Oreochromis niloticus: one gene and its partners. The protein of the gene in region 1 purifies or fractionates together with the protein of each later gene. This does not show direct contact. Links are inferred from orthologs where the notes say so. Each region holds a gene or a part of one and is shown in the gene's direction. Other genes may lie near its edges. The genes, in order: phlpp2, usp1 and usp46.

Evidence for each region.
Region 2: the proteins of phlpp2 (region 1) and usp1 purify together in Homo sapiens (affinity purification with mass spectrometry; 3 studies listed by BioGRID and IntAct, with this or other methods). This does not show direct contact. The link is inferred for Oreochromis niloticus from reciprocal best matches to the Homo sapiens genes PHLPP2 and USP1.
Region 3: the proteins of phlpp2 (region 1) and usp46 purify together in Homo sapiens (affinity purification with mass spectrometry; 4 studies listed by BioGRID and IntAct, counting the BioPlex papers as one, with this or other methods). This does not show direct contact. The link is inferred for Oreochromis niloticus from reciprocal best matches to the Homo sapiens genes PHLPP2 and USP46.

What each region holds. Positions count from the first base shown.
Region 1 is NC_031965.2:21,822,212-21,830,099, reverse strand, and holds the start of phlpp2 (PH domain leucine-rich repeat-containing protein phosphatase 2), read left to right. Parts: upstream 1-4,810; 5' UTR 4,811-5,040; coding exon 5,041-5,253; intron 5,254-5,905; exon of another isoform or gene 5,906-6,076; coding exon of another isoform or gene 6,077-6,088; intron 6,089-6,986; coding exon 6,987-7,270; intron 7,271-7,888. UniProt on the Homo sapiens protein: Protein phosphatase involved in regulation of Akt and PKC signaling.
Region 2 is NC_031981.2:33,420,431-33,428,320, forward strand, and holds the start of usp1 (ubiquitin carboxyl-terminal hydrolase 1), read left to right. Parts: upstream 1-4,882; 5' UTR 4,883-5,251; intron 5,252-5,279; exon of another isoform or gene 5,280-5,459; intron 5,460-5,733; 5' UTR 5,734-5,801; coding exon 5,802-5,974; intron 5,975-6,302; coding exon 6,303-6,447; intron 6,448-7,890. UniProt on the Homo sapiens protein: Negative regulator of DNA damage repair which specifically deubiquitinates monoubiquitinated FANCD2. Also involved in PCNA-mediated translesion synthesis (TLS) by deubiquitinating monoubiquitinated PCNA.
Region 3 is NC_031986.2:37,319,403-37,327,458, reverse strand, and holds the start of usp46 (ubiquitin carboxyl-terminal hydrolase 46), read left to right. Parts: upstream 1-5,017; 5' UTR 5,018-5,398; coding exon 5,399-5,434; intron 5,435-8,056. UniProt on the Homo sapiens protein: Deubiquitinating enzyme that plays a role in behavior, possibly by regulating GABA action. May act by mediating the deubiquitination of GAD1/GAD67.

The sequences.
Region 1 (7,888 bases):
CTGCATGAGAGAAACTAACAGTAGTTTGTGCATCTCATTACTTAACCTTAGCAGCCCTGTGACGATGCTGTGCTGAGATCCTCATCAGGCTGTGTAATTATTTTCACTATGCTTCACTGTCTTCTAACTTCTGTGACCAAATCAGAGAGACTATTAGCTTTGGAAATATTTTTGAGCTATGATATGTGTATATGGAGAAAATAATTTCAGTTTAACTTTTTTTCTTCTTTTCTGTTGTTGACAAATGCTATATTGGCTTTTTTTCTGTACATATTGAGGGCTTTTACAATTTTTGTCTCTTGTACTATCTCTCATCCTTTTTTTAGATGCCATTTTCTAAAAGAAAATTCCAATTATTCACAATGTATATTGTCTAAATAGATCTAGTCAACATTAGTCTATTAAGACTTCCCTGTATCATCACTCATTCATTGTAAAAGGTATATGATCTGCTGCCTGTACATTGTATATAGTTGTAAAACGAACGCTGATCAGATTAAATAAAACCCACATGAAGACTTAAAAAGATTAGCTAGAAAGTATAATTGTATGCATATATGTACAAAACGAATCTTAAGAAGGATGCAAATGACATGCTCATGCTTCATTCATGATGTCGTCTTTTCTTTTACGATGATACTTTGTGAGTCATTGGGCCACATGACGAGATTCCTTTTTTGGATGTTGGAAAAAAGGGTTAAATCTGTCCTAACAGATGTTGTATGGGTGATGTACTACTGAGAAACCTAAGCACAGTGCTGCACAGAGGCAGCAGCAGAAATGGCACCTTGCTCCATCTGCTTCTCTGCCCCTCAAACACCTCATGTATCCGTGCCCTCCTGTGGAAGAGCGGCGGCTTATTTACCAAGAAGCTGCTCTTCCTTCTGGCCTTATGTGCACTCTTTGACACTTCACCTCTATTAAACGCTTTTCAATCTGCAAATTGTTTTGTGAAATGAAGCCCACCCCCTCTTTCTTCATTATTCTGGTGTGTGATCTCTCTTAGCTGCCTGGTTGTCTTTTTGTTTTTGCATCTCTACCCAAACAGTCAAGGCCCTTATCGGTGCCACACAAAGGGGTTTTTCAGCTCACAGCGATAGATATTGTGTGCTCGCTGTATTCAGAACAACACAGTGCTTTCTTTTGGGTCCTTTTTTAGTCCATTATAGCATGGCACAACTTTCAGTAAACGCTTTGTGATCTCCAATATAACAGTTAACAAAAAAACGATCTGGGTCCTCGCTATTCTAAACCAGACTTTAAGTGGCTGTAAATCAAGGCAGGATGTGGTGAACAGCAGTGGGTGGATTCTTTTTGTCTGAGTCTTTATAATTTTGTTTTTAATCCATTTCTGCTGTTCAAGAACTGAAACAAAACTGGGGCAGAGGGGAAAAAGCCTGTGTAGCTGGCTAATAACCACAAGGGGGAGCTGTGCAAAATGGAAGGCTGAAGGGATGGGAAAGGAAGTTTGATACTCATACTGTTCCTGAATGTTTTTGTGTTGTTTGTATTGTCTTACTCAACCAGTATGTACCCTTGTCCGTCACATCAGATGGTTTCTTTTTAAGATTCAGTCATTCATGCTGTTTAAAACCTACAAATGGAAATGAACCCAACATAAGTGCTTTGGACACTGTAACTGTAAAAGGAAGAGAAGAAATGGAATCAAGTACTCATCAGAGGTGTGGTCAGTGACGTGTGTGTGTGTGAGAGTGTGTGTGTGAGAGAGAGAGGGAGAGTCATGCCCGAGAGGATGTGATGGTGTGCAACATGTCTTCTGTCTACATAGGACATGATTTTTGGCTGCAATTGCTTTCAGCTTCTGAGCTGCATGTGAAAACCAGTGTAAATAACACCATTTCTACTCTCGATCTAAGACTCTTTTGAAGTGCTAGAAAAGTTCCAATTATATGAATCTGTCACACCACCTTCATGGGTCAGTACTAACATGTACAATAAGCAGTTGTTGAAATAGTGCTCACATTGCTGTCGATGTTTTTAAAGCATCTGTCATTCGGTTTATTGGTTATTGCTTTTTTTTTTTTTTGTTTTGTTTTTTGGATTTTTCTTTTGTTTGTTTGTTTGTTTGTTTTTTGTTTTTTGGGGGGTGAATTCAGTGTGCAAAGGGCTTGGGAAAGCGTCTGAATTGCCACCACGTTCATGAACTTACCCTGTTGAATTAAAAAAAAATAAAAATAAAATAAAAATGCATCTGCTGTATTTTGAAAACGGAATCTGTACACACACACCCCCGAACCCGTGACCTGCCCTGACTGAAAACAAAACTGTATCTGATTAGTTGGGGGAGGGTGAAGGCATGAGGTTCACTTTTGACTCGTATGAACTGTATCCCAGTTCTGTGACTTCAAGGTGAGTGTGAATGTCAGACTGAAGATATAAAAGGATGACTAAAGATGAGGAGTTGTAAACTATTAAATGGGATATTTTCAATTTATGCTGTGTATTCTTGTCTTTGGGTTGGAGAAAATGATCAAGCGAATAAAAAGTCAAATAAAAATCTACATGAGCTACGGTAGTTTTCTTTCATGCTTTGGGGTCTTGTGTATAAGAGTCGTCTACCGAAAAGAAATGCTGGGCTCAATTTATTCATTTGTTAATATTTATACCAAGGATGGATCATTTCTAATTGTTTTATGTCCTGTTTATCAAATGTTGAAAACTGGGATAAGAATTAGATATAAATAGAAATGAGTTTATTGCTATTATAAACACCTAGATTTTTTAAAATGTTTCGTGCTGTTAATGTCGACTCCAAGTATGAGTGGATGTGTGAGTGCTATGTATCTGTTTTTAATCAGCATTTAAAAACCATGACTGGACGTGGGTTAAAATTAAACTGACCTTTATGATATAGAGGGGAGAATTAAGAAAGAGCCAAAAGGCATGTGTTGTGCCTTATTGTGAGGGAGTTCTACAAAATGAAAAGAAAATTGTAAGGCATTCAGAATTGAAATTATAGATTAGTCAGCATATAACACTTGGATTTGTGGCCCCTTGAGTAAATTGCTTACTTGGCTCTCTGGCCAAAATTAAGCCTCTACTGCACAGTTTCTAAAGGATTGCGACCAAGTGAAATGATCATAAAGGTGTCAAAGCAATCTAAAAAGGTATGGGAGTCACTTATCTATCATCATTTCTTAGGTTCATATAGTAAGCCAAGAAGATCAGATTATTTGCTTTAGAAATGACTTGAACTGCAAAAAATATTAAAAATGTGTCTGAAGAGAAGCCACGTCTTTTTCGTTTTTTTGTTTCCTGTTTTCAGAAATTTTCTCCTTGTTGCCTGGGTACTTTTCACTCAAGATTTAGTCGTGTGAAAGGGTTTTCACAGGACTCCAGGCTGCCTAATGAAAATCTAAATGCACAGTTACTCCTTCCATAGGAATTAAGAGTAAGTGGCAGGCAGGTGCTGCTAGCATTTGATCAGTGTGATCTGCAACATTCAGGTGTGTAACGATGCTACAGTCTTGCCAGGAATGTCTATCCCTTCAAATTCACTCGAAAGTCAGACTCTGTGATGCTCAGGAAAATTGTAAAAGCAACACAAGACCAGCATCTCAGACTCTACCTGCCTCAGTCAGCATGATAAATGATGAAGTTCATGACAGTACTATTAGAAAAAAAAGCCAATAAGTAATAAGGCTTGTTTGGAAGGGTTGCTAGGAGAAAGCCTCTTCTCTTTAAGGAGGGCATGACAGCACACTTTAGATTTGCAAAGTTGCATCTGAACAAAGGTGTGTGGTTATAATGCACAGTGCAGTGTTTGGTGGAAAACAGATGCAACATATCAGCACAAACATCTCTCATCAAATATCAAGCACGGTGGTGGAGGGATGATGATCTGGGCATGTTCTGTAGCTGCAAGACCCGGGCAACCTGCAGACAGAGATTTAGCCAATTCCTCTCAATGCCACAGTATTCCAGAGTCAAATACAAGGCTATCCGTCTGACAGCCAAAGCTCTGCCCAAACTGGGTCATGCAACATGGCGAGCACAGCAGTGAATGTACAGCAGACTGGCTGAAAAAGAAAAGAATCAAGGTGTTGCAATGACCCAGTAAAGTTCAGACCTCAATCAGATTAAAATGCGGTGACTGGAGCTTAAGAGAGCTTTGCAAAAATGAATGCCAGCAAACCTCAATGAAATTAAGCAACAATGAAAAGAAGAGCCGGCAAAAATTACTTCACAACCATGTAACACACGCAGAGTCACAAAGAAAACCATTATTTCAGTTATTGCTTCTAAAGGTGGTTTAACAAGCTACTGAATCATGGGGTGTTCTTAGATATTCACAGGACAGCAAACATTCCAATGTAAACTGCTGTCCCTATTCAGGGAACCTCAATAGCTATGTGTGACAAGGTTCACCCTGAATCCACCCATCCATCAAATCAACCTTTTCCACTTACCCAATTCAGAGCGACAGGCCGGTCACACCCAAAGTCATGCGCAAAAACCGTAATGTTTGTGACACAGCTTATATGGGGCGCCCCATACAGCTTAGAACAACTGCTTTTAAACACAGACTGTAAACCCATCACGAGACACTACAAAACATGAACACATGTCTGACACACCCAGCAGATAAATGCATTTTTAAACATTTTCTTCCTATTTACTTAATGATAAAAGAAAGTTTTATCCACAGACTAATGCAAAATGAGCCTTTCTTTCTCCCCTCTCATTGAATAGGTGCAGCAGAGGGTTAACGCTTAATGACACGCCCTGCAAACACCTCTCGTGTTTTTGCGACTGCATCAAGTGGGAAAACTTGCCTCATCATTATTATGAAGCATCCCGCTTCAGAAAGGCCCATTGGCTGCTGAATAATAAATACCCTGAGCCCGCCCATGTCATGTTTATTGATCAGCTCTCCGGGGCCTATCTGACAGCAGTCAGATGAGTCGGGATATGGCGTCGCTGCACCGACACAGGATGAATTTTCACCTCTCCGTGGGAATTTACAAGTCGCGCGCCGGGACATCGCTTGCTTTTTGCCGCCGTTAAAAGGGATCACACATGGCGATGGAGGACGAGGACAATAACGCGGAGGTCGCTGCGACCAACGTCCGAACGGGCATCAAGAGAGGAGGTGATGTCGGAGATAACGGGGCTTGCATAGACAGGCAGCCGGACACGGTGGTCCACCAGGCGGGGCTGAATCAGACTGCGGGTCGCGGCAGCCGCAGTGGTCCCGGAGCTCACGCTGCGACGGGGATCCGAGTGCTAAAGGCAGGTCATAACCAGAGGGAGCAAACGGGGGGGGATTTAAAGTGATCGACAACTGTCATGTGAAGGTGTCGCTTACATCGCAGTAGGTGCTCGGAACAGGGCAAAGTGCATCCACGGATACGCTCGCATCCTTCCCGGCAGTGTTATGTAAATGCTGTGATATCGCGTCTAATTGATAATTGATCCGAGGCAGTCAGGAATGCACCGGAGCCGGTAACAGCAGCAGACCACACACTACAGGCACTCATAGCTGGTATATAGCGAGGCCCGCTGCTGAACTGTTTTCTTAGAAATTTTTAGGGGAAGACATGATGAGTAATAACACGCAAGTCCCCAAAGCTGCCTCAGAGACACGCGCGTACATACAGAGAACCTCAGCTGTGGTATTTCATTTAGACTGTGAGCATTACTCGTTTATTATATTTAAAAGAGGTATTTGAGGATTTGCAATGAAATAGGTAATCCCGGAGTATTAAACACCTTGATGTTTGTACGCAGAGCATTAGTTTCTACCTGCCTGTCATAAAGGTGGGTAAGTGAATTCTTTTCACAGTTATAGGTCTCAGATATAGATTATTTATAAAGTAGAGGCACTTCCTTGTGAGTCCGGACAGCTTGTTCAGTCACATTCACAGTGACACACATCCATACTGGGGAGGTGCCCAGGACATCTGTAGTCCAGTGGGGTGATTCCACAGCTTCATCAGACACACCTTCACAGCTGCTGACAAAGAAGACATCTGCACTTTACTTTCTCTGTGACCTCTTAGTTTAAGCCAACCGTTCGCCTGATCACAGCCTTAACTCTCTAACCTCTGAAGCAATGCTACTCCAGGTATGATCCATTTAAGTAGTGAGAGTGGATGTTTATTCTTGACCTTGAGAATAGAGGCTTCAAATGGGATATGACTTTGTTACTGTACAGAAAGAGTCTAAGAAAAGAAACAAATTAAGCCTTCTGTTGGGCATTAAATGAGAGGATTTGCCAAGTAATTCATCAGATTAATCAAGATAAAATTACTGTTATTTTAACAGGAAATCAATCATTAAATCAGTTATTGAGTAACTGTACCAAATACTGAGAGACTGTGGCCAATGCTGTTCAAAAACCCAACCAAGAACGATCAGTTATCACACCTTTTACTGTCAGGCTTATCGAACATGGAAGCCACTGGAGGCTGAAGATGACATCATTTAAAAACAGCAGCAATGATACCTGTTTGTCACCAGAGCGGATGCTCTCCAGACCTTTGATATCTTTCTTTGTACTGACTAGATCTAAATGCATCCCGCGTGATAAACTCCACCCTCACGAAGAACTGCTGTTACTGATATTTTATCGTTCAGGAGAGGATTATTCTTCATTGATGTCTGTTTAAGAGTAACATTAGGCTACTCCACATCCGGCTAATGTCATCACGGGTGATTAGTGAAAATAATGGTGCTGTGGTTCCTCACAGCAGTCACACCGTCCACCCTCACTGCGAATGAATAAACTTTAATGGTTGACTTTAGTTTAGGGTAGAGCGAACATTTCTATGAAGATTATCCAATTGGTAACTACCAGCGCAAATTGATTTTTGGCTGGATTAAACCCCCAGCACGTCTGGGAGAGTGTGTAGTCCATCTTGAACCACTCTCTGTTTCCTCAGATGCCCCTTGCCTCTTATGCTATGTTTTTGATTACAATCTGTGTGTGAGAAAGACTAATATTCTGTGTTTTTCTGTGTTAGCAGCGCAACATGAAGCGGAACGGGAGTCGAAGCTGCGTGACGAGAAAAACCAGGTTTGGATCACGAGAGCGGGACTGGCTGAAAGGGGACACCCAGCGGGGCTGTGTGTGTCTGTATGGGGGAACAGTAGACCCTCAGCCACCTGCCTCTGGCACACAGGCCTCCTCCACCCCTCAGACAGACCTGCAGTTGGTGCTCTGCTCCACCAGTACCACGGTGGAGGAGCTGTGTGCTCAGAAGAACGGACACGCACTTTACGTTCAACTGCACGGAGACCTAGTGAGGTAAATTTACATCGTGTCGAATCATGGTGACAAAGTTGCGTTCAGCTATTCCCTGAAGGACAAAATAAATTAAGGCATGGTAGGAATACTCCAAATATACCTGTTCCCTTTTAGAACTGCAGAGAAAAGAGAGTTCAGTCCACATCAGCTACTCAAGATGGGGCCAACACATGCATCAGGCATTCAACAGCTTCATTAAATTAATACCAATTAATCATGTTAAGTAAATAAGAGACAAATCGAAGCATAAAAAGAGTTATGCAAATATAAGCACGTGAAATGGGAGCTTGCTAAAAATATATAATACAATCTCATCCTCAGTTAATGCAAAGAAGGTAAACACACCACTGAGGACTTGCTGCAGTTGCCCTATCATCCCGCACTCCCACAGCTCCTCACCTAGGATACGCTCAGGGAACATATCTCTACGCCTCTCACCGCTGTACAAGACATGTGTAGACTGAAATAGTAATTGATGATCTGTGAAAGGATGAAAAGCTGGTTCACTAGTCTGTGACCAGGAAAGATTCAGTTCCTTGTTTGCTTCCCTTGGAAAACCTACGTGAAGATATAAAGGAGCCTAAAACGAAAGCTCAGCTGTACAGCTTAAGCCTGAAT
Region 2 (7,890 bases), on another chromosome or scaffold:
GCTGGGCTGGATACACCCACCTCCTCGGCATACATCAAACGGGATTCGCTTAGATGCTCACAAGTATGCTAGGAGAGAGAGAGGAATCCTATGTGCAGCCTGAGATCTGATCTGATCTGATATATGCAAATATCCATCCATGCAGGGTTATGCACACATGCATACTTATAAAGGGTCCCTTTAACTTACTTTCACTGACACGCTTACACACCAAACTACTTTCTGTGTGAGAAAGGAATGGAATAAAGTGTTGATGTTACAGTTATAGTCATAGTGCAGCAGATAAACATATCCATCCATTCTCTTCTCCCTATCCTTATAAACCCCTCTCAGACAGGATGCAAAACATGTGAAAAGTGAGAAGCGTAAACTGTTCACTTATGCTTGTGTTTTTGCTTTTTTGGATCACGCTCCAGTTTTCCTTTGTCCCAGCTGCTCTAAGCTGAAAGAAAAGTCTCTGTTTTTCATTGCATTTCTGAGTACATATGTGCACACAAGTGTAGCAGACTTGGACATGCTTCTCATTCTTGGAGTTCACCACTGCCTGTCGTTCAGCATGCTTTCATTTTCCTACCAGCGCTCAGTTCTTGAGAGAGAACCAGGCTGGAGGCTGGAGGAGGGGGGCTGTTTTGTCTCTTGGGCTTTAAGCCCGCCACACCACCCACCTCTACCGCTCCAGCCACTAGAGCTTTGGGCCTCGTGGGACAAGGCCAACCTTGATGAAGGCCACTTGCATAATTCAAGCACCTCATTACTCAAGTTCTTGTAAAACTGGTCCATAAACAGTATCTGAATGTGTTACATTCAGGTACAAGAGAAGCTTTTTTTCTTCATCACTGTTCCTCGAGTCATTTTTTTTTTTTGTATGCCTTCTAAAAATGGAAAGTCTCTCCGGTGAGAGAGAGTATTGCCACCAACGTTTCATAGCACAGATCTCTCCAGTTATCGTATTCAGCGTCCAAAATACCGGAAAATAAAGCCCTGCTTACATTTGACCCTTCAGCATACAGCAGCTTGATACGTGGGTGACCTGGCTATGCCCTCTTTATAAAATTCTGTTATAAGGAGGTGATGAGAGAAGCGAAACACAGTAATCCTCCTGAATGTGAGTCTCCTGGTTAGGATTTAAATGGTGAGTGAGAGAGAAAGCATATCCAACACATCCCCTCCCCGGCCCGCCTTCTGTAATCTAAAGAGATCACTAGCTGCTTGTTTGATCTGTAATGAAGTCACACAACAAGAGTGATTTAGGATAAACTGAACCCACTTTAAGTGAAGTGTGGGACTCTGGTAGGCTCTAGTAAGTTAATTAAGAGGTTTGCTGTTAAAGCTACCTCAGAGCTGGAGACTGAAGAGTATTCTGAGCCATCAGACTGAAGGATGGCGATGGCATCATCATCTACAGTCCCACAGGAAGTCTTAGCACCCCTAAAGTACTCCCATCCACTACTGCATCAGCATCCTTACTGCAACATCCTACCACCATCAGCCTGAAAGCCACTGAGGTTTTCTGGAAGCTGAGGCACAGCAGCTCAGTGTCCATCGGTACGTTGCTGCTGACCAAGCAACCACTCTGCAGCAGCAGCAGCAGCAGCTGTAGCAACAGCAGCAGCGGATCGTCCAGCCTTCATACTGTCGTACTGACAAATGCCTGCACTGACTACGTGCATGGATGAAACGAAACACCTGCCGTCTCCCCATGTCTGTGCCGCTTTCAGGTGATGCGATCCTCTCTATATCGTAAAAAAAAAAAGCAAACAAACAAACAAAAACAAAAAAAACACGCCAGCCAAAGCACTCTGTAATACTGTTAAAGCAAAACAGTGCAACTGATACAAATAAGCTGTAAAGAAGATTAAACTAGACGCACTCGCGGCCCGGCTATTCGAGCAGATTTAGGTTTATCAATTAACGCTGGAAGCAGGGGAAACGTAAACAGTGTCTTACCGTCACAGTCGCGGAGGGATAGCCTCGGAGACTGTCAAACGATGAGATGCTCCGGTGAAGGAGGGAATGATACTACTGGACAGATCGATCTCCGTTCGGCTGGATAATGTCGTCCCCTGTTGGTGCAAAGCGGGCAGTGCCTGTACAATAAGCGTTTTGGTTTCTCTCCCTTTTTATGTATTATGTATACATGTAAATGGCTTCCTTAAATACAATTATGAACAGCTGATGTGGGACAAGCTTCGTTATTAAACAAAAGTCCACAAATATACTTTGGTTCCACAAAAAATATATAGTTTCATTTTAACAGCTGCAAACTATAAACTTCCGTTTACTTTTTTCAAAATAAAAGAACTGGCTAATGAAAGTCGGTGGTTGCCATGTTCTTGCTCAGGATTTTAGTAGGACATTTGCTTGGTTTGTTATCTACGACTTTAAATGGTACGTGCAAAAATCTCATCCCCACTCAAACTAAACTAACTTACTTAATCCCAGAAAATCAACCCCGGTTATCTGGTGGCAGTGACTTCCTAACTTGGAGGACTGCAGATTTCCCCTGTTGTGCCAAAAAGTGATCAACTGTCAAAAAAGGTCAGATCTAGTTCAATTCTACATTTTTTTTTTATGCGTAATAGCTTTTCTTATATTGGTTAATAGACTGTAGTCACTGTATAAGATTGAAAAAAAAAATACCTGTCTGCAAGTATCTTTGACTCCATTATTGTAATTACATTATAATCAATCCAGTCCTTTTTGACCACTTAGAATATCTTTATAGGACTGGGATGTTAAACTTGCTGCAATTTCTGCTTGTCCAGTTCTCTCTTGGAAAAGGGCATTTTTTAATGTCAGACACTTTTTACCTTTTTTATTGCAGCATCTACCTTGTGACAGGATTTTGGTTCTGGCTCACAATGACTTGATATCATTAATGAGAGCACAGCACAACAGCTGACAGGGCCAAAGTTTATTTTTATGATCGTTAATATGCAAACTGTCAAGACCATTCATCAGTGGCCATGAGTACCATTCAAAGAGAATTGGAGAATAGCCACAAACAGCGCTGTAAAATGGTGAAGTAAGGCCCTGTCCTTGCTTCAAAGATGGTCATTCCCTTTTCATGTAAATGACCTTCTTGCCTCCATGTTCAGAATGGTCTGGGATAACCAGGAATCCTTCAGCTTCCCTGCCCTGTATTAGCCTAAGAATACATCATTCACCATCTTAAAGTGTTGTTATTGCAGTCACTGTGATCATTGATCAATGGCCCATTGTTAGTCATTTGTGGGTGTTTTCAGTCATCATGCAAATGAACTGCTTATAATGCTGGGGAAAGCTGCAGTCAGCTGAAAAAGTCACTTTGATGAGAGATGAAACGTTTTTCCCACTGAAATGTACCTCTAGATGAACAGATTCAACTTTGTGGGATTTTCTTACCTGGATGACTGAGCATAATTCATAATTTACTATTATATAACTATACTATTATAGTCTCGTGGGGTTTTTTTTCAGGTAATGATTTATTTTTTTTATTTTTTTTGCTGTTGGACCCAGTTTTGTTCATACTCATTGGCAGTGTTGGGAAGGTTACTTTTAAAATGTATTCCACTACAGAATACTGAATACATGCCCCAAAATGTATTCTGTAACGTATTCCGTTACGTTACTCAATGACAGTAACGTATTCTGAATACTTTGGAATACTTAATATATTATCATGCTGTTTACAACTACGTGAATGTACTATTGCTGTGATTTATTACTGTTACTGAAGGTCCGAAACGTAGTAAAGGGACCTCGGGCTAATACGTCGGGTTCGTGTCGGGCTGGTAGCCGAAAACTAGCTTTACTTTGTTGTCTGGGTCAACTTTGCTTGCGGGAGACAGAGAGAGGCGTTGAAAGGCTGCTCCAACGGAACTTATTTTTCCCGGAGGAAAACACGAACACAGTGTACAGTTGAGTCTTAATAGCTTACTTACAAATGGGCTCCTCAGGCTCTCTTCTTGGCTGCTGTGGTTATTATTATATTTACATGCTTCCAGCTCCCGTTTTTGCTCCGTGACAGCTCGGACTTTTCCTTTCTCTCCCTCCCTCGCTCACAGACACATAACGGGTATGGTAGTCCATTCTCCCTGCAGCACGGACTACACTGCCCATGATGCTACATTCTTTAGAGCTATGCCTGTAGCAGTCTGCCTATTAGCTTAGCACAACAACAACAACACAAAGGCGCTGTCTCACCCAGGAAACACGCAGAGAGAGAGCGTCACCCTGTAACCATGGCAACCGTAACGCTGCCGCCTGGAACAACAGAACGTAGCTGTCAAACAAACCCAAACAATCCTGACCCGCGACAATATGAAACAGGGAAGTACCGCCGTGTATTCCATTTATTTCACCAAAGTAACTGTATTCTGAATACCACCTTTTTAAACGGTAACTGTAACGGAATACAGTTACTCATATTTTGTATTCTGAATACGTAACGGCGGTACATGTATTCCGTTACTCCCCAACACTGCTCATTGGTTTGTACTTAATAATATTATGCTTTCTATACAAACATCTGATTCTATGTTAACCATTTTTCTGTAAATCGCAATTTGGTGTTGGATCAGATATATAAAATGTGAAGAGGATTCAAGAAATATAGAGCACAGTCTCCCAAATTATACCTCTTATACAACAGACCAGCTTCAGCTTGTCTCAACTTGAAATTTGAAAGCCTCTGTGGCCCTTGGCTTCCATGGAAGCCTTGATGAGTTGTATACCTTTTTTTTTTTTTTTTTTTTTTTACATTCATTTAATGAAAGCAATTTTTTTTTTATGTCCTGTATTTAAAATCTTAGTCCTTCAAAAGGGAAAAAAAGTGAGACATGAGAAATGACTGTTCAAGTTTAGCTCGACTTTTAATTAGAAGGAGCTGGAGAAAGGACTACAAGAATGGCGCTGGGAGCTGGCCGGTTGGGTCTAGCCGAAATAGTTGTCTTAACATTAGCCTGAAATCTGGCATGTAAATCTTTTCAGGTATAGAATATTCCAGAGTTCTGCGCGCATTTCCAAATGTTCGGCAACACCTGAAATATTTTCAAGCTTAGTAGTGACCGTTTTTTTTAAACATTTTGGCCGGATGATTTGACGCGATATCCGAGCGCTGCCGGCGATGTAGCGGCCAACGAATCTTCAAGCAGGAAAAAGCGCCAACTTCTGTTGCACCGTCTGAATTGTTAAACAGTCCTTAAAGCATTTCGAGACGGGATATTTAATGGAAAATATCAAGCTTAAACTGGAATGAAGCATTCGGGTGAGTTTTGGTTCTCGACTCTGCTGGGATTTCAAAGAAGTCCTTTTTGGCCGTGAACAGTTTGAAACGGCGTGCTTTCTGTTTTCTCCTCCCACTTCTTCACCGCACCTTCTCGAGCCAGTTTGTCGCTGTGATGTGCGCAACGTGCTCAAAAAACGCCGAGTTATTTGTCGCTACCCTGTCATTTAAAACGAAAACAGCTGCTAACGTAAGCCGTTCTATAGCGGTTGTTTGTGGGAGGGACTGAAACAAAGTACCACCTTTAAGTTAGCGTTAGCCAGCTAACATGTTATATAATGCGTGGTTCGGTCAATAACCGGTTCGACTGTATTATTGAGAAGTGTGTGCTTGATTAGACTGAACCTGTCCGTGTGTAGCTGCACAATAGTGGACCATGAACTTAAGTGCGCAGCTACGTTCGTTCTCGTTGAACTCTGATGGCGCCCGCTGAAATTACATTGTGTGTTTCCATTTTTCACCAGTGAGGTTCGCTGTTGCGTCTCAGTAGGAATTTAAAAGAAAAATCGCCCTCAAGGTACTGAGAGGAAAGATGCCAGGTCTGCAGGGTGAAAGTGTGGTAGTAGCGGCTCCGGGGAGCCCAGTGAAGAAGAGCAAACTCTCTCTGAAGTTCTTCCAGAAGAAGGAAACCAAGCGGGCTCTGGATTTCTCTGAACCTCAGACAGAAGAACCCAAAACATGTGAGCCAGAGGAGCCTGAGGCAAGGTAGGTCTCTGCTACCAGTGTGCGTCAAACACAAATAGTTTTCCAGACTGATGTGTTTTGGGCAGCCCGAAGCACTCGTTTTCCCACAGTTACATTTAGATAATTACGGGAATTCCACTGTTGTTGTGAGGGCAGGATAATGCACGTGTAGATGAGTGACACCTTAGATTTTAATAGGCTTCATCTCAATCAAGCTGGTGTTAGACTTCAACATTAATCTCAGTGTAATCATTTTAAAAACAGTGTGTGCCCGCGATGGTGGCTGTCATTTGTGAAATTCAATTTATTAGCTGCTGACTTTCTGTTTGCTTTCTTCTTAACCGATCAGCAGCTGCGATCAGGTGGTCCCTGGGCCTTCTCAGTGTCCTTCCTCACCCAGCCTCCTCCTGTCCTGCGAGAAGAGAGAGAACTTGGTGCCGTTCGTGGGACTCAATAATCTGGGCAATACCTGCTATTTGAACAGCATCTTACAGGTGAGCCATTACCACAGATGGAGTTAATTTCCAGCGTTAATAGATGTTTTGTCACTTGTTCCAGTGTTTTAGTACAAATGGTAGGATGGGCTTAAATATACTGAAGGAAAAGTTGAAAACTGCACAGAAACTTAACAGTGTGTGTGGTTTGTTCTTGTGCGATTTAAGTTGCATTGAATCCTCAAACCTGTTCACCTGTGTTATCCCACTCAGAAGTGGATGTTCTTGTGATGTTGGGAATGTTCAATTTTCTGATGGGGAAATTGTGGTTCAGCGGTTGTAGTGTGATGGCAGTCTGTGGGGAGCTTTGGACTGTTCTACCTGCAGAGAGCCTCTGTAGTCAAATGGAGGCAGTGCTAAAAAAAAAAAAAAAAAGTGGTTCGACCGGTCTGTAGGCTACTACTGAGTGTTGTAAACAATGTACAGTATCCACTGCAACCTCTGACTGTACTTCTCATACATTTTTTTTTTTTTTTGAACTTCTTTCCCTGTTCTGGCCCACTTGTCAACCAGTCAGCACATTTCTGTTGGTTAAAAACCCATCTCTGTAGGTAAATATCTCTGGAAACTAGGGCTGCCACGATTAGTCGACTAGTCACGATTACGTCAACTATCAAAATCGTCGACGACTAATTTAATAGTCGACGCGTCGTTTGAAGCTTTGTAAGATCCCAAAAGACGCAGGAGTAAGTAGTAGGATTTAAGAGTGTAATAACGGACTGAAACAGAAGATGGCAGCACTGCATGTACAAGGATGCCTGCTGCCGTTAAACCCCAAAGAAGAAGAAGCTGTGTCCCAGAATTCATAGCGCGGCCCTGCTCAGTTTCCAATGATGGCGGCAGCTAGTTAGTTTTAATATTACTCTTATTATTCTTTCTGGGTCACAAAATAAACGTTTAACCTATTTTCAGGCGAGAATGTAGCTGTGTAAACCTCAAATATCTGCTCAGTTTATCAAGACACCACATGTTCTCAAAAGTGCTCCGACGTTTTCGGAGACGTCTGTTACCCACCAGCTCGATAGCTAGCCGGGGTTCAAGGCTCACTAGAGCCGTTGAGAACACCGGACTCCCGGCAAATCGTTTTCAAACCCACCGCTGTCTTTCGCTACTCAGGTTAAACGTGATATATAAGTCACTTAGATAACTTAAAAATGATATTGTTTGGCTTTTTTTAGTATTTTATTTGTTCCTGAGTAAATTGGTTTGGCTGAGATTAAAGTTATAGTTTTTACACAGCTGAATAAACGTCAAACAGACAACTGATTATCAGAAGTGTGAGATGCTCGAGAATATACTGTTATATTTTAGATAGCAAGGAGCAGACTGCTGAGTTTATTAAACTTCACCTAAACAATCTGCAGATTTCATTAAAATTTAATAAAATATCATCTTGTCTTTATGTTTAGTTAGCACATACTTTAAACACTTAAAGCTGTAAGC
Region 3 (8,056 bases), on another chromosome or scaffold:
TAATCTCTCCCACCGTGTTTTGTATTACAAAAAAAGGCTGTGCCACCTAATACATCTTCTTCCTATTTGCCAACTTTGAAATCTTTGTACTGAGAAGCCTAACAAGATAATAAATAAGAAAAAGGCTTCCTCATGCTTTTGAGACAGGACATAAGATCCAGAGCTCTGACATACAATAGAGCAAACACTATAACCTGCCTCTCCATTTCAGATGCCCTGCAGCTGCAGAAAGATACTAAAACCTGCTTTGTTTCTGCTTCCAATTCTGAACATGAAACCATCACAAAATAAAAGAAATAGTAGTCATCGATATGACGTGGCACTATCACTGTCACACAAGCTGAACGTCTAGCTCCTTATTTGATGTAGCAACATTTAATTGACACGTATATCTAACCTGTTCGTATGCACACGGATAGTTTTGTCAATTACTAGTTTTTGGTGATGCAAGTGGAAATTGTGGCTTAAAACGTGAGACAAGTTCAGATCAGAGCAAAAGTCTGTCACAAAACGCTTTTATTTTCACTTCAAATACTACAAGTGTATAAAGAAATGTCACACCAACTGAATCATTCTGAACATGCAAAATTTGTTTGTAAAAACTTGACTTATGACTCATCTGGTATTAGCAGTCATCATAACATAGTCAGTCCCCAGGAACAGACAGACACTGTGTCTCACATACAGTGGTTGGAGGAGGGGTTTAAACTTTTCTACAACAATCTTAATAAACTGTTCCTAACCTTGATGTTTCAGAAGCCTGTGCCAGATGTCACAAGTCGGCAGTGAATCACAGCCTAAACTGGGAAGGATTATTTCCTCGTGATGCATAATTCATTTTGCCTCTCTTTGTAGCAGCTAAACAACAGGAAGGTCATCGGTGCTTTTAGCGGCGTAGCCAGCCTCTTTTACTGGAAACTTTTTTTTTTGAAACTCAAGATTAAAAAATTTTTTTGTGTGTTCCCTTGCCCAAACATTTAGCCCCACTTCTGGTCTCAAATGAGGCAAGCAGAGAAGGTTCTTTGAGGTTCATTTTTTACATGTTGTGAATGCAGACGTCCTGTCAGCTCCACCTAAACATGAAGAGGAAAACACTAGATGAGAGAGATTAAAACTCCAGATAAACGCAGACCGATTGACCCACCTTTTCGGTTCACCTGAGGCCTTCTGCCGATACATGAGCTGTCCTGCAAAGTTACAGAGATAGGAGATAAAACTGATTTGATCTCATCAGGGAATAGATCATCAGAGATGCAGAACAGGAGCTGGGTTTCATTGTAAATGCTTTTACAATGACCATATTTTTCTTGCTCTTATGGTTACTTACTGAGAACATAAAGAGCAGGAAAAATGACAATAAAAGCAGTATGAGTCATGGCATCTGCATCCACTGTGGTCTCTGTCCTATTAATACTGACTGGACCGAAATAGAAAGCAAGTCTGGGAATGTTTTGTGTCAAGAGCCAAGAGCTTCAACCACATGTAATTGTTTTCCCATCCATCAAACGTTTTTCACAGATAAACCATGAGAACACATCAGTCAGCAAGATTCTGAGTAAGTACATGGTGCATACAAAACATCTGATCAACAATGTAGCTCTCCCATCCTCCACAGCTCAAACTGTCCCCCCTGTTATTCTGTTGTTTGTTTTTCTGTTAACACTCTTATTCCTTTCTCCTTTTCCCGTCCCTTTTGAAGTATGTCTGTCATAATTATTCATTGTTTTCCTTTCTTTTTGTTCATATTGAAATGCTAAGGGGATAATTGCTGAGGGAATGTTTTGAAAGCACAAACAAAGCTGCTGGTAAATGAGAGTGTCCCGAGGGCCCAGGACTCCTGAGGTGTCCTTACCTCATAATGCCCTCTCTCTCTTCCTCATGGTCAGCTAATTGTCAGTTAGAGAACCGAATAACTGGAAATTAAATGATAATTTACAGAATGTCACCTTGCAAAAGAATGATGGCCAGTACACAACATACGTTTTCAAAGTGTAAAGGATTATCTCTGAGGCCTCTCAGTTTCAGAAAGGATTCCTCTGAAGTCTAAAGAAATCTCTTTTTGATATTATCAAGGGTTGAGGTCTACTTTTTAAACAGAAGGCCTGGATTGCAAACAGGCCATTTGAAATTTAAAAGAAGCAGAGGTTTAAAAAGCAAGCAGCGTTCCAGGAAAGATCCCAAGGGATGCATCATGAAAACAGGATATATTATGTTACCTTTTCCAAACTGATTTTGGATTGGTGAATTTGGTTAGCACTGGTGTCTCACAGTAAATGGATTCTTGTTCAAACTCAGGCAGGGTCCTTCTATGTGGAGTTTACATGTTCCATATGTGCTTGTTTGGGCTTTATTCAGGAGTGCTTTCTTCTTTTTTTTAAATAAAAAAAACCGAATAAATAGGTATTGCCAACTTGGAATATATCTATCTTGGCCCCAGAAGAATCCTACAAAGAGGTAATTAATCTCAGGAGTTTCACTTCCTGGACAAATAAAACAAACTCAATGTGAATGCCATATATTTATGAAATTTGAATATTAATTTTCTTGTATGCCTTGTTCGATTGTTTTTCGTTTGTTTTCAGGTTAAACACAATATCTGTTGGATAGAAATTCTTCAAATATGATCACATTCACCCAGGCTGTTTTTACTTGTTTTCAAGTTGTTAATGTTATGACATTTTGCACAGAATAAGAGATTCGTGTTGCTTCAGATGCATTTTTACTACTGGAAATATTTCATCTAATTTAAGCTGAATAGTTGAGCAGCACATGCAGGAGGTAGAATACATGACACCCATTCGCTTACTGTAAGTTTACAAGACAATGACCTGCTTTGTTCACACATGGGCTTAATTTGATATCACACAGTCTTTATGCTAGAGAGTTGGCAGGTTAAAATCCACTTACTGGCTGAACTAAGTGAGTCAGACATTTGGATTCCTATGTGTAACTCTGCCCGGGAATGTGTAGTGCATATGTGAAAACAGCTTTGCATGCAAGGACCTGTAACTCAAGAATTCCTAAATTTATGACAATGGCAAAATTTTCCAGAAATGTAAAACGGGATAAAATGATGAAGAAATTTGCAATTTTGACCAAGAGGTCAAAATTGTTGCATTGTAATATTATGCAAAAACACTTTTTCGCAGCCTTGAAATAAAGGAGACTGTGATCATATTTTATTTTGGATACTGAACTGGTGGCAATAATCTCTGCTGGCAGATCTCTATATAAGAGACAGGACAGACAAGGGTGTAAATTACAATACTGGAAAAATTGCGAAACAGTAATTCTAGTAACTGAACTCATACTTTTCTGCTCCATTTGAGTAGTCAAAGCACTTTTAGAAATGTGAAGCTAGAGACTCCAGTAACCATAGTTAACTGTATTCCAGGGCTAGAGCAGACAACACTGGAGAAAATTTGATACTGCTGTCTAAAAGTAAGCATATATTCAGTGAGATTGCAAATCACAATGACAGTAATGACACCCATTTGCGTCAATCGGAGGTCACTAAAATTTAATATTGAGTCTCGTGCCAGGAGTGACATGGTTAGCTGCATGTTCTCCTTAAAATGCTGGGTGTCCAAAACATGATGTGGACTTCAAGGTCAAATGGAACCAGGAAGCAGAGGATGCAGGATGAATACGTTAGCTTAAATGAGTCATACTGACTGTCAGAATCCTCAAAGCTAAGGCCGAGGAGGAGGAGTGGCTGCAATCTTTCACTCCCTGTTATTAATCAACCAAAGACCCAGAAAACTCAAAAAACAGCTTTATTTGTTATCTATCATTCACCTCATAGTTTCTAGCTGATTTCTCAGAAAATGACTTCAATAAATGTTTTGATTAAAAATTAAATTTTTAAGAAAAAAGATGTGCCATTAAGTACAGCAACTTTCAAAATTACTGATATTGGACTCTTTATTTAGACGCTTTCTGTCCAATTGATCATACTGAGTTAACTTAATGTCTTCCTCTAAACCATCACTGTGACTTTTAACTGATCATTTCCAAAGGAATAGTTTATTTGAAGCATTTTAATCAGGATTTAAAATACATCATAGCACAGAAACAGCACTAGTGAATATTGTAAATAACGATCTTCTTACGGCTTCTATATTACACAAATATGTAAAGACTCCCTTTAGTCATTTTCACAATATCTCTAATATTTAGAAACAGCCTATTTAGAAATTGACGCTGAAAAGTAAAGTCTTCTTTACTCATCTCTTTTTTACTGCCCGTGTGTTTATACACCAGTACTGTATGTAATCATTAGTAATTCATGAACTCTGGCTCCTTTCCACGGGACACAGCAGATGGCTGCTCCACCCTGACTCTGGTTCTGCTGGAGGTTTCTTCCTGTTAAAACTGACTTTTTCCTTCTCACCGTTGCTTGATCATAGATACATATCTGATTGTTTGGGTTTTCTCTCTAATATTATAATGTAAAATTGCATTGAAATGGAATCAAATTCAGTGTCTTTACCCATTCATAATTTTTTTTCTATGCTTAAGTACTTTTAACTAACTCACACACTGGTGGATGCATCTGGGACAACTCGGAGTTCAGTATCTTGCCCAAGGATACTTGGACATGCAGACCAGATGAGGCAGGAATCAAACCACTGACCTTTTGCGAACCACTCTAGCTTCTGAGCTACAGCGACTACTCTTAAAACATATGTATTGACAACTTCAAAAGGTATCATATAGCAAAAAAAAAAAAAGCTGCTGGTTTAAGAATGTGCTGTTTGCGTCGTTAGACCTGAAAACATGATTTTTGGCTCACACCACTTCTTTCTTCTTTATGGGGGAATTACTTGTCTGTGTTATAAAGCATAATATATGTTTTTATGTCACTAGAAAGCTTTTTGCATAAACCCTTCAGTCCTTTTAAATTTCACAAATCACAAAACGAACTACAAATCCCTGCTCTAAATCGCAGATGATTGGTTGCGGCTCACTTAAACTCTACCGTGCAGGTCTGTATGTGGCTCTTCAATCATGTCAATCAATTCGACTAAATCCGGACCAATCAGCTCCGGGGGTTTCCCCTGGTGGGCGGGACTGTAATGCTTCCTCACACAGCAGGCTCGTTTCCTAGACGTTGCTAACAACCTGCTGCCTGCAACTTTCGTCTGTCCCCTCGTGCACTGTCGTTTTCCAGCTGAGGGGTGTTCGATATGTGTGCGAGGATGCAGCCGTGTCCACACTGAGAGTCCCCCTCAGCTCCGTGCCGGCTGCATGGTGCTCCGTGCCTCTCTGCCTGCTTTCTGACGCTTGAGGTTGCAGTCTGGCCTCCAGCCTCGACTGCGAATTAACTTCATTGCTCAGCGTCGCCTTGCTCTATTTATTTTATAAAGATGGCGGTGAAGGGGACACTGTAAACTAAATGACTGTCAGAAACATCGCCTCCATTTGTAATATGGTGAGTAACTCGCTGCTTTTCCGTGTTGATATCGATCCGCTTGCAGGCACTGTGCTGAACCTGGTTGTGTGTGTGAGAGTGTGTGTGTGTGATGAGTCGCCTCCCACCTGCACCCAGAGAATGTGCACACTGCAGGGTTTTTTTTAAAAAAACGAGTATACACAGTAGTTTAAATCGTGGCCCCATACTTTAGTTGGTCTCAGTGCTGTCGCTCAGACAGGGCCCCTTTTGTGCACCTTTGCACGCTGCAGCTTGCCGGGAGCGTTTGCATTGTGTGTTGCATCCTGGCGAGACAACACAATGTACAGTTTGTATAGTTGTCACCGGTGATTGACAAGAGGGATGGGGGGAGCGTGCTGCCTTTGACAGCTTGGTGTGATTGCATAATGTGGTGCTGCAGCAAAGGACCGGTTACATCCTGGTAGCACAGAGCAGGAATCCACACTAATCTGTGCTCCTGGTGTTCAGGGGCAGTGAAGAGTGGGTAAGAACAGACTTAAACGGCTCTGCCTAATGCCAGTGGCCTTTGCTTTATTTAGACTAGATGCTAATGTGAAAAGCCTGCAGTGTCAGTCTCATCTTAGAGCTGCTGGAGTTCTTAGATTGCACAGACTGATATATTAATCCATATCTCATCAGGATGTGTGGTGTTTTTCTTTTGTTTCTAGATATATATATATATATTCAGAATCTCCTTTAATTTTACAACAATGTTTTGTCCTGTCCTTTTTTCTGGAAATAATTAATGGCAAGGGAGTCAAACAGAAGGAAAAAAAACAAAATATATAGACAAACAGAAGAAGACGGCTGTAGTGATCGATGTAGCGGTCCCGAATGACAGCAACATCAGGAAGAAGGAACACGAGAAGCTGGAGAAATACCAAGGGCTCAGAGAAGAGCTCGAGAGGATGTGGAGGGTGAAGGTAACGGTGGTCCCCGTGGTAATCGGAGCACTAGGTGCGGTGACTCCCAAGCTAGGCGAGTGGCTCCAGCAGATCCCGGGAACAACATCGGAGATCTCTGTCCAGAAGAGCGCAGTCCTGGGAACAGCTAAGATACTGCGCAGGACCCTCAAGCTCCCAGGCCTCTGGTAGAGGACCCGAGCTTGAAGGATAAACCGCCGCAGGGGCGCGCTGGGTGTTTTTTTTTTTTTTTTTTTATATATATATATATATATATATATATATACACACACATAGTTCAGTATTATGTATAGAGCACCAAAGACACCTCAAGGCACTTTATATTGTAAGGCTAAGACAGTATGAGCACTTGGTGACAATGGGAAGGAAAAACTCCCCTTTAACAGGAAAAAAAGCTAGCAGGACCAGGCTCATGGAAGGACAGCCATCTGCTACAACTTGTTGAGGGGTGTGGGGAGGAAGACAAGACAAAAGACACACTGTGAAAGAGAGAGCGGAGATTAATAATAAGTCATGGGTAAATGAATAGTGCTGTATAAATACACTGAGTGAAAAGAGGTGAGTGAAGAAGAAACACTCATGGGAAGCCTCCAGCAGGCTAGGTATATTCCAGTGAAACCAACTGCAATATATATATAGTATATATAGTAAAATATATATATATTACTACACTAGTAAAAGCCTCGCAACAAGTGTTCCACCAGACATAAAGCGGGAACAAGCAGTTCACAGGAAGCCATCATCATGTGATTTTTTTAAAAAACATTTTTTATCCTGATCGAAATATCAGATCGGCGCATTCCCACTCAGTATGTCCCTAACCCTATTTATTAAATAGTCTTAACTAAGTAATCTAATCGAGATGTTACAAGTTAAGGACGCACTGATGGATATGGGCAGATAAAATGCTACAGTGTTTTGCACCAGTCATTATATTATCATTATTATTATTATCCATGGATTTTTCTTAACACTGACTAACCTAAATTGCATGAGAAAACTCGTGCAGGAGCAAGGAGAACATGCAGACTGCACACATGCAGGGCAACAAGTTCAATTAGGAACCTTCTTGCTGTGAGGCAACAGTGCACCTTCAGTGTTGGATGAATAATTGTTATTTCAAGCTGTCTCTCTTAATCAAATAAACATGTAGAAAGGAGCATAATATCTCTCCTTTAAGAATTTATTCCTTTCTAAATTAACAATACCACTGCCCACTTCCTGTTATCAGAAGGAGCTCAAATTTCAAAATGTGGCTTCAGATGTCAGTAAAGGTTGGATGGATAATTCATGTGTGGACTCTCCTTGGTAATTCGTCTCTCCTGGGACCTGCATGTTTCCCAAAACATTGGAGACTGGAAGTGGTAAGCCGGACAGACGGGTATCCATTGTCTGCTTTGACAGATGAGAAATGACAGTCATTAGAAGTCAAAGCCTTCCCCAACCTAAATTGTCTGCTGTGTTCACTCAACAAAGCTGTGATTCATTTGAAAAAGCTTTGAGCTCTGACAAGTGAAAAGCCTCTGACAAGAGATAAGTGCTCTGTCTCAGCAATTGGGTGCAGCAAGAGTCCCGACTTTTGATACGGGTCTACCTATTTAGACTATATCCGTTTTCTACGTTGACATGACTTGTTGTTCTGACCAAAGGAAGCAAGATGTGTGGAAGTGTGTGCTTTCTGCAGAAAATTGAGATCTTC